2 linked regions of the Caenorhabditis elegans genome follow. The protein of the gene in region 1 purifies or fractionates together with the protein of each later gene. This does not show direct contact. Each region holds a gene or a part of one and is shown in the gene's direction. Other genes may lie near its edges.

Region 1 (3,883 bases):
TTTTGACCAATTCCTTGTTTCTCATCACCAGTGATGATGACCATTCTGCTGCCTCTCTCTCCAAGTCGTCACTGCTGTACAGCCAAAGAAAAAACTTTCGATTTTCATACACTAATCGACCCTAAATAACTAGACCATCACAAGCCAAAAGCAAGAAGGAGGCCATATTTTCTTTCTCTACTATTTTTTTGGTAAATTGGAAATGCAACAATTCGAAGGATGGCTCCAAATTAAACAGTTCGGCATATTCTTCCTTGGTGTTGTGGTTGGCAGCTTTTGTACGGTGAGTGTTTGGGTACGGTAGCACGGAAAGTACGCAAACACCGAATCCTTAAATTCTGAGAAAAATCAATGAAAACCTGGAAAATTCATATATTAATTCCTATAAGTTTAAAATGTTTTTTTTTCAATAACTTACAAAATTTTTTATAATTTTTGAGAGCTCTCATTTCAGTAGAGTAACTAGACTCCGCCCGCACCGGCTTAGGCTCCGCCCCTTTCAGACCCCATTTTTTAAAGTTTTTGAGAAAACTACAAAACTAAAAAAGCTGCGAAACTGTTAATTTTCGAACTTCAATAGACGAAAATTTTTTTCAAGTGTCTGAAAAAAAAGTGAATTGAATAAAATCAATATTTGGCTCCGCCCCTTTCAGACCTCTTTAAGTTTTTGATGGAAAATGCTCAAAAGTTATTTTTAAAAAACCCATTATTTCAACTTCAAAATAGTAATATTTCATTAAGGCCGCAAAAGCTTCAAATTTGGGTAAAATTCAGGTTAGGCTCCGCCCACATCAGATTAGTCTCCGCCCCTTTCGGACCCATTTTCAGAATTTGGGAAAAAAGCTCTGGAAAAGGTTTCTTTTTAATTTCAAAATTTTAAAATATGATTTCAGATCTAAAAATTTTAATGTTCTGAGTATAGAAAAAACGAAAAAAAAGGAAAAGAATAGGCTCCGACCCATTTTCGTGTCGAGACCGAAAAATCTTTTTTTCGATAAACTTCAAATTTCGTAAAACATGTCTTTGTCATGATTATACTTTTTTGTTGAAATCTCTCAGTTTCCCGAGTTCAAAAAACTTAAAATTTTTGAGCTCAACTCAAAATTTGACTGAAAATTTCAAATTCCAGATTATTCTCTTCTTCTACGGATGCTTCAAGTCCTCCACACTGTCGGCGAAGCCCACTGAGAGCTCCGGGGATTCAGGGAATTCTGAAGATATTGAAAGTCAAGAAACACAAAGACCACCAGCTTATTCATCATTAAAGTAAGGTTTTTAAAACATTGAAAGTTTTCAAAAAAAATTTTAGATTCGACAAAAAGCCGAACACATGCAAATGCTGTCGTGTGCTATCAACAAAACTAAATTCAAAAAATGTTTCAAAAAAATAATAAAAAGTGATTCTCTCTGCCTTCTCTGTGTCTCTCAACACCCCCTCCCTCTAACATGAGCGACCACAGAAGCTTTTCCATTAATTTTTGAGCAATGTTTCCTTTTTTTTGGGATCGCTGCTCAGAGTTGTAGAGACAACTTACGTTTTTCAACCTCTTTTTTCTGCGGAAAATTCTGAAAAAATCGATTTTTTTTCTGGAATACTTTGAGCATTTTTTGAGCTTTCTGGGCTCAATTTTCAGCCAATTTTTAAATTTCTAAAAAACTTTTTTTAAAAAGAATTTTTCGTCTGTTTTGCATGCTACTTTTTTTCAAAAAATTTGGGGCAAAATCCCAAAAAATTCCGCAAAATTACAGAATTTTATGGGTGGGGGCAGCGGTCTGCTGATAAACTCCAATCGGCGAAAGGGCTCGAGTTCCGGGTTTGGATGTGAGGGATGGTTTTGTGATTTGATGGACGGTGCAATGGTTATGTTAGTGGTTATGGTGAGTTGGGTTTTTTCATTTAAAAATCGATTTTTGAAACAAAAAAGTATTTTTTTTTAATTTAAAAAGTTGAAATTATTTAAAAAAAACAATAACTTTTTATAAAAAAATTTCTCAACTTTAAAAGTATTAAATCCGAGTTCAGCAAACCAAGAGCTTTAATTTAGGTATAATCATGACCAGGCTCCGCCCCTTTTGAGTTTATGCTCCGCCCATTTTAAGCCATAACACCCGCCCAATTCCAGGAAATTGTCAACACGAAAAATCAACAGTTCTGAATTTTTAAGCTTCCTTATTAGGCTCCGCCCACTTTCAATTTCAGCTCCGCCCACTTTTGGTCCTGCCACGATTTATGGCAAAGACTGCGCTCATTTTAACAAAAGCAATGCAATATTCTTGATTGCCAAAAAATAAATTTTTAAGTTTTTTTTAGGTTTGTAAATTCCCAGGCTCGCCCAATTCTGGGTTAGACTCCGCCCTTTTTTTGTAGGTTATAAAATTCTCATTTTCACCTTGAAAAGTGTTTATTCCATTTTAAATGTTTTGATTTGATTTCCCTCTTGTTTTGACTCCGCCCATCGCAGGTTAGGTTCCGCCCACTTATTGGCTCCAGCTCAATTTTCAAAGCTGACGGATCCTAGTCATGATTATACTTAAACCAAAGCTAATACTGAGATAAATAAGGATTTGATAATTTCATGAAAATTAAATCAATAACCGAGGAGTTTTAAAAATCTAAAGATATATTTTGAAATATAAATTTCGAATATTTTTTGTGGAATTAACAAATTCCCCAAACAAAAATTTCCAGGTTATCGCCACAGCTCTCATAGGCTGCCTAAAAGCCTGCTTGTGTAAAAAACAAAAACAATTGCTCCGTGAGCCCAAGCCAACATCAGAAGCGGCGCAAGAGGTGCCGAATGGTCCAGAACTACCACAAATCTCAGAGGCTCCGCCGCCAATGTTACCTGTAGTGATTGTGTTGGAAAATCCACCAGAATACGCAGAAAACGATCAATATATGCCTCCTGCTTATTGTACCTTGAGGTAAACATTTAAAGTTAAAAATTTTTTATTATTTATTTTAGAAAAAAAATCCAAATTTTTTTTTTCCAAAATTTTTTTTTCAGATTCAACAACGACGAAGAAGCCCAAATATAATAGGTTTATTGATTTTTTTTTGTTTGTTTTAATTATTTCAAAATTGTTTTATATTAAAATAATAATACTAATAAACAAAAATAATCGATATATGTATTTTTACACAAAAATTATATGTATTTTCTTACTCAAAAATATTCAAAAAATATTCAAAAATAGGAACCGGTGTTCACTGGGATTCGTTCTACAAAACTAGAGTTTACAGGGACATAGGGACTACTGTAAGTACTTTGAAAATGGCAAAAATAGCTCTGGAATGAATGAACAAATTGAGATGTGGAGGAAGGGATACTACAAAAACTACAAATATTGGTGGGCGGGGTTTAAATTCGGACTGCTCCGGCATCGTCACTATCATCTGTTGCAGAGGTGGTGTATTCGTCGATGCATTGGTGGATTAGGGCTTGTGGATTCTGGAATTTTGGAAAATTAATAAATTTTTAGTTTTCAGCCAACAATTTTGTTGGAAACTGGATTTCAGATAATTTTCACTAAAAAATTTGAATTCGGCATGCAAAGAGCTTTGATTTAAGTATAATCATGCCTAGGTTCCGCCAATAATAGGGTTAGGCTCCACCCACTTCTTGGCTTGTCAAGAAGTATTGCGAAATTTTAACGAAAAGTGTAAAAAAAACTTGTGAGTTTTGAATCAATTTAGTGTTAAAAAAATTAGATTTTCTGCTATTTTTAGAAAAATTTCCAAGTATTCCCTAATATTTCGTGATAGGGCCCAGAAGTGGGCGGAGTTAAAAACCAAAATGGGCGGGTCCTTGGCAAAATTAGAAGTAAGTAATTTCAACTCCGGAAACACGATATTTCGTGAGGTTTTGGAGAATTCCCTAGT
Region 2 (6,525 bases), on another chromosome or scaffold:
ATTCGGTGGCTGAAGCACTTCCGGCTCTTGGATGGGTGACCGTGGTATGTTAACATTCAAAAGTTGAAATAAAATATTACTGTGCTCAAGATTCGATAATCTTAACATACATATTTTCTAAACTGCTTCTAATTTCAGAAGAAAACCCCAGCTCCATACGTGAAGGAGTTCATTGAGGCTGCTCAATTCTACATCAACCCAATTCTCCGCGAGTTCAAGGAGACCGATCCAAGACACGTTGAGTGGACCAAGGCTTGGAAGGCTGTATTTGAAGAGATGCAGAAGTTTGTTCGTCAAGTTCACACTACTGGTCTAGTCTGGAACAGCGCTCCAGGAGCCGCCCCTGATGCTTCTGCCTCTGCTCCATCTGCCGCTGCTCCATCAGCTCCAAAAGCTCCAGCAGGTCCAGGAGGACCACCCCCACCACCTCCACCACCACCAGCCGACTTCTTCGCCAACATTGCTCCGCCACCAGTAGATGCTGACAAGGCAAGCCGTGATGCTCTCTTTGCTTCGTTGAACCAGGGAGAGGGAGTTACTTCTAGACTGAAGAAGGTCACGGCCGATATGCAGACTCACAAGAACCCAAACCTCCGAGGAACCGCTGTTGTGCCAGCCGCTGGTGCTTCTCAGGGCGGCTCATCTCCTGCCAAACCAGCTGCTCCAGTAAGGAAGCCACCACACAAGGAGCTGGAAAACGGAAAACAATGGATTGTGGTAAGTGTTTCAACAACTTGAAAAACATATTCAATAAGCATTATCAATGAAAAACTATTTACAGGAGTACTTTGTCAACGATCCAAACATTGTTCTCGATGTTGCCGATAAGAAGCAGACTGTCTATATCTACCGTTGTGAGAATTCTGTGATTAAGGTCAACGGAAAGGCCAATTCTATTACTTTGGACGGGTGCAAGAAAACGTCTGTTGTGTTTGATGCCCTTGTGGCTCAGTGCGAAACTGTCAACTGCCAATCTGTGCAAATTCAGGTAATCAGAAGACTTTTAGTTGTACAAGCTTCAATACAAGCTCAAATACAATACTATTTTTTTTCCGTCTGAACATAAAATTAGTTTCTAAATAAAAAATGTGAAAATAAATATTTGGTTTTAATCGTTAAAATCTTCCAAATTACTAATAAAGTTCAGTCAACTATATGCTTCGAAATTCACTGAATCTATTATTGTTATTAATTTTTAGACCCTTGGAGAGCTCCCAACTCTTTCAATCCAGAAGACTGATGGATGCCAGGTGTACTTGTCAAAGGTGGCTCAAGGATGCGAGATTGTCACTTCCAAATCCAGTGAGATGAACATCTCCGTGCAAACCAATGATGATGGGGATTATGTAAGTTTTTCGGATTGTAGAACCCAATCTAAATTTCCTTTTCAGTCGGAGTTCCCGGTTCCGGAGCAGTTCAAGACAACTTTTGTCAATGGCAAGCTAGTCACTGTCGTCTCGGACATTTGCTAAATCTTCTCACGTCATAACCTTATTTTTCAACTTCATGAACTATCCCCTCGAACTTTTTTATTTGTCCCTGTCTACAATTCTTTATAAGCAATTGAGACACACTTTGCTTTATTAAATAATACCGATTTTGTTTTGTATATGCATTGACTGGTGCTCAACTATTTTTATTGAAAAAATTACTTTTTACTGTCTCGTCGAATAAAAGTGATCCCTTCCAAAAAATAGTTATTCATGTTTGAAGGTTTGTGATCGTAGAACAATTGCACCGAATGTAGTGTAAAAAAAATTCCAGAATGTTCAAATACATTTCCACCCTCACCAGAACATCTCAAACACCAGGCACATTTCAACACACTTTCATGGATCTTATCTTGCCTCAAAACCATCAGCTTTCTTCTCATTCTACAAGTATGAAACAATCTACTATTCTATACATTTATAATGTAATGGAACCATGTGAAGACATGAGCAAGATCATTGTCGTCAGCGACTACCCCTCCTTCATTTTTCTTAGAGTATCAGTTTGCTAATGCTATTTTTTTTATCGCTATCAAGTTATAGAATGTCATGGATGCAAAACCTGAAAAACTACCAACACCTTCGGGACCCATCCGAGTACATGTCCCAGGTTTATGGAGACCCGTTAGCGTACTTACAAGAGACGACTAAATTTGTGACAGAAAGAGAATATTATGAAGATTTTGGTTATGGCGAATGTTTCAACTCTACAGAATCAGAAGTACAAGTGAGTTTACGTAATTTTCAAATTGCAACGGTAAATTTTATTTTTGTATGCAATTGTATTTTGTTCCCAGTTTTTGAAATATTCGTTATATACATTGAAGTTTTTCAACTGTAAATTTGAAGGCCCGTATTTTCTTAATTCTTCGATAAGTATTTTGTCTTTATAACTACTAAGTTTTTGCTGAATCAACTTGTTTATTTTACTTTGATAGCTTATCTGCAAAACTGTACCAAAATTAAAAACCAAGATTTTTTGTTTTGGAACAATATAATCAAAACGCTTAAAATGTTCAATAAACGGTAAAAAAAATAAAACTTGCAAAAAGTCGCAGCTGAGTAATCTAACATTTCCGAATTTCAGTGTGAACTTATTACGGGAGAATTCGATCCAAAATTGCTACCCTATGACAAACGTCTAGCCTGGCATTTCAAAGAGTTTTGCTACAAAACATCTGCTCACGGAATTCCCATGATTGGTGAAGCTCCAAACGTATATTATCGAGCAGTTTGGGTCGTACTTTTTCTTGGATGTATGATAATGCTCTATCTTAATGCTCAATCTGTGCTTGACAAATACAACAGGAATGAGAAAATTGTCGATATTCAATTGAAATTTGGTAGTTTGAAAAATCATGTGCTCCTTACTGAGCTTTTTTATTTCCAGACACTGCACCTTTTCCAGCAATTACGCTTTGTAATTTGAATCCTTACAAAGCAAGTTTAGCAACAAGCGTGGATTTAGTAAAGCGAACGTTGTCAGCATTTGATGGAGCAATGGGAAAAGCCGGAGGAAACAAAGATCACGAAGAGGAACGCGAAGTTGTCACCGAACCACCCACCACCCCTGCACCCACCACAAAACCGGCACGTCGTCGAGGAAAACGTGATTTATCTGGAGCATTTTTTGAGCCAGGATTTGCAAGATGCCTTTGTGGAAGCCAAGGGTCTAGTGAGCAAGAGGATAAGGATGAGGAGAAGGAGGAAGAGTTACTTGAAACAACTACCAAAAAGGTATTTAATATTAATGGTGAGTGTTGCATGTCAAATGAGCATCGCGTAAAACATTCTTTTGAACACAGATGCCGATGAGGAATGGGATGGAATGGAAGAATATGACAATGAGCATTATGAGAATTACGATGTGGAAGCAACTACTGGAATGAATATGATGGAAGAATGTCAATCAGAGAGGTAAAGTCTAGTCTAACAACTTTGACAAAAAAGTGTTTGAAAAAGTCTAGTCTTACAATTTTGAGGTACGGTAAAGTTTGTCCATTTTGATAAGTCCAATTTTTGAGAAGGCTCAATTTTGCCTTCCATAAATTTGAAATTCATATGGTTCCAAAATACAGAAGTTCATAATGAGACGTTTCGAAATGTTCTCCACAAATCTTTTTTCTCGTTCAGAACAAAATTCGACGAGCCGACGGGATTTGACGATCGGTGTATTTGCGCTTTCGATAGATCAACTCATGATGCGTGGCCCTGTTTTCTGAACGGAACCTGGGAAACCACCGAATGTGATACTTGCAATGAACATGCTTTCTGCACCAAAGATAACAAAACTGGTAGGTTTTTCAATCACTTTGCCAAACTAGCTTCACTTGTTTGATTTTACTCTTCTTAATTTTTATTGTTGTTTTTTTCTAAATCGGAATTTTTCAGCGAAGGGCCATAGATCCCCATGTATTTGTGCTCCATCTAGATTCTGTGTAGCATACAACGGAAAGACGCCACCAATTGAAATTTGGACATATCTTCAAGGAGGAACTCCAACTGAAGATCCAAACTTCCTTGAAGCTATGGGATTTCAGGTAACAATCACAAATATATAAATCAAGTGGAAACTGAAAAGTTTCAGGGAATGACAGATGAAGTTGCAATTGTCACTAAAGCCAAGGAAAACATCATGTTTGCAATGGCTACCTTGTCAATGCAAGATAGGGAACGGCTAAGTACTACAAAAAGGGAACTTGTCCACAAGTGCTCGTTTAACGGAAAAGCGTGTGATATCGAAGCGTTAGTTAGGCTTTCAGATATGATATAAATTCAATTATTCAGAGATTTTCTGACTCATATTGACCCTGCGTTTGGTTCGTGCTTTACCTTCAATCATAATCGAACAGTAAACTTGACTAGTATTCGAGCAGGTTAGTTTCCTCAAAATTTTTTCCACATATTTTTTTCTAAAATAATTTTTGAAGTCCGTTATGTATAAACCAAAAAACGTGTTCCGATTCCAGGTCCCATGTACGGATTACGTATGCTGGTTTATGTAAACGCGTCTGACTATATGCCAACCACGGAAGCCACAGGCGTTCGTTTGACTATTCATGACAAAGAAGATTTCCCATTTCCTGATACGTTCGGTTATTCTGCTCCAACTGGATATGTATCCTCATTTGGATTACGATTGGTATTAGAAATTCAAACTCTTTTTATAGAGTAATGGTGTTGTTGTTTTCAGCGAAAGATGTCACGTTTGCCAGCACCTTATGGAGATTGTGTGCCAGATGGCAAAACATCGGACTATATTTACAGCAATTATGAATATTCGGTAGAGGTGAATAGTAAACAGAATTTAAGCAAGTTTAGTAGGAAAAATGGGTCATAGAAACTTTGTGATTCTTGTTAAAATAGCAATTAAATATAGAACTTAATATGATAACAGAGGGAACTATTCCAGGGCTGCTACCGTTCTTGCTTCCAACAACTCGTGCTGAAAGAGTGCAGATGTGGAGATCCACGTTTCCCAGTCCCTGAAAATGCACGGCATTGCGATGCAGCAGACCCTATTGCAAGTTAGTTTCAAATTTGACATCTCCATAAATATTTTTTTCTGCAGGAAAATGTCTTGACGCCAGAATGAATGACTTGGGAGGCCTACACGGATCTTTCCGTTGCAGGTAACTTTTGAATTGTTATATACTTTTTAAATAAAAAACTGCAATTTCAATTTTAAGATGCCAACAACCATGCCGCCAGTCAATCTACTCCGTTACATACTCGCCGGCAAAGTGGCCGTCGTTATCTTTGCAAATTCAACTAGGATCGTGTAATGGTACAGCGGTAGAGTGTAATAAGCATTATAAGTAAGTTAATTCAAGAAAAAACACACTTTAAAATTGGGCCTATTTGAGAGAGAACGGAGCAATGGTGGAAGTGTTCTACGAGCAGTTGAATTTTGAAATGCTCACTGAATCAGAGGCTTATGGGGTGAGTTGAAAAATTTAGGCAAAGAACGTGTATCAAAGAAATGTATCAAAAAAATTCGAAAAAATGCCGAATTACTACTAGCGAGCAGGCAAAAAAAAATTTATTTTTATTCCAAAAAATTTATCTCAACTATTTCTAGTTTGTCAACTTGCTAGCCGATTTTGGTGGACAACTCGGTCTTTGGTGCGGAATATCCTTCCTTACCTGTTGCGAATTTGTGTTCCTTTTCTTGGAAACTGCCTACATGAGTGCCGAACATAACTACTCTCTGTACAAAAAGAAGAAGGCTGAGAAGGCAAAGAAAATTGCGTCTGGATCTTTCTGAATTTGTTTTTTCTTGTTTTAAAGTTACCATTGCAATGTTGTGTCTTAAAATAAAAATTTACATGAGAATAATTGAATAATTTTGGGTAGGAAATTATTCAATTAATATTTTACTTACAATAGACACAAAGAAGTAGGAGAAGGGGAGTTTAAAAGACAGAAAAAAAAACTACTGAAGAGAAACATATAAAAAACAGAAACAATCACTCGCTGAAGGAAAATCTATTCACAGAAACAAAGGGGGTGACAAGTCAAGTCATAACTTTAAATAATTATTTGTATGGTTACTTGTCAAAATTGGCTGAAAATGAAAGCGGCACTAGAATAGCATCAATTAAAATACGTGGCATTTACGGAGGTGAAGGGGGGAGGGGCAAAACCAAACAGAGTCAAGAAAAAAAATACAAAGATACTGTAAGCTGCAACAAAGTGAACCAATATAAGAAACGGGGGTTTCAAGCTTAATACAAGGAATGGAAGAAATAAATTTTGAGACAGAAAAGTTGAATTTTACACAGAGCATTGTTGGCATCAAGGAGTGCTTAACGAGCCAGTGTTCCAATCAATGCGGCGCAAATCTCAAAGAATTGCATAGTCTGGGAAAGCTTAGCTCCTCCAGGAGATGGTGGTGGTGTCACATCGCACTGAAAATACTCGGTCATTGAAAATTAGTGCGTTAATTATTTAAAGGTAGTGGCATCAACTTCTTGTCACTCGAAGATTTTTAAAAAACCTATAACTATATCAACCACTCCAAATACAATTCCAG

Evidence for each region.
Region 2: the proteins of mec-19 (region 1) and mec-4 purify together in Caenorhabditis elegans (affinity purification with western blotting, with the first as the bait; one study listed by BioGRID). This does not show direct contact.

What each region holds. Positions count from the first base shown.
Region 1 is NC_003279.8:12,562,767-12,566,649, forward strand, and holds mec-19 (uncharacterized protein), read left to right. Parts: upstream 1-1,589; 5' UTR 1,590-1,755; coding exon 1,756-1,878; intron 1,879-2,689; coding exon 2,690-2,925; intron 2,926-3,008; coding exon 3,009-3,039; 3' UTR 3,040-3,129; downstream 3,130-3,883. Other genes in the region: C49G9.2 (uncharacterized protein), read left to right, coding at 203-283, 1,130-1,266, 1,310-1,391; Mitogen-activated protein kinase kinase kinase dlk-1, read right to left, coding at 3,363-3,452.
Region 2 is NC_003284.9:16,802,624-16,809,148, reverse strand, and holds mec-4 (Degenerin mec-4), read left to right. Parts: upstream 1-2,033; 5' UTR 2,034-2,034; coding exon 2,035-2,217; intron 2,218-2,577; coding exon 2,578-2,833; intron 2,834-2,880; coding exon 2,881-3,243; intron 3,244-3,295; coding exon 3,296-3,407; intron 3,408-3,623; coding exon 3,624-3,784; intron 3,785-3,881; coding exon 3,882-4,030; intron 4,031-4,077; coding exon 4,078-4,235; intron 4,236-4,277; coding exon 4,278-4,366; intron 4,367-4,459; coding exon 4,460-4,632; intron 4,633-4,683; coding exon 4,684-4,779; intron 4,780-4,902; coding exon 4,903-5,017; intron 5,018-5,061; coding exon 5,062-5,122; intron 5,123-5,179; coding exon 5,180-5,308; intron 5,309-5,356; coding exon 5,357-5,432; intron 5,433-5,571; coding exon 5,572-5,757; 3' UTR 5,758-5,828; downstream 5,829-6,525. Other genes in the region: cas-1 (C-CAP/cofactor C-like domain-containing protein), read left to right, coding at 1-44, 139-717, 782-988, 1,200-1,346, 1,392-1,472; aak-2 (5'-AMP-activated protein kinase catalytic subunit alpha-2), read right to left, coding at 6,299-6,400.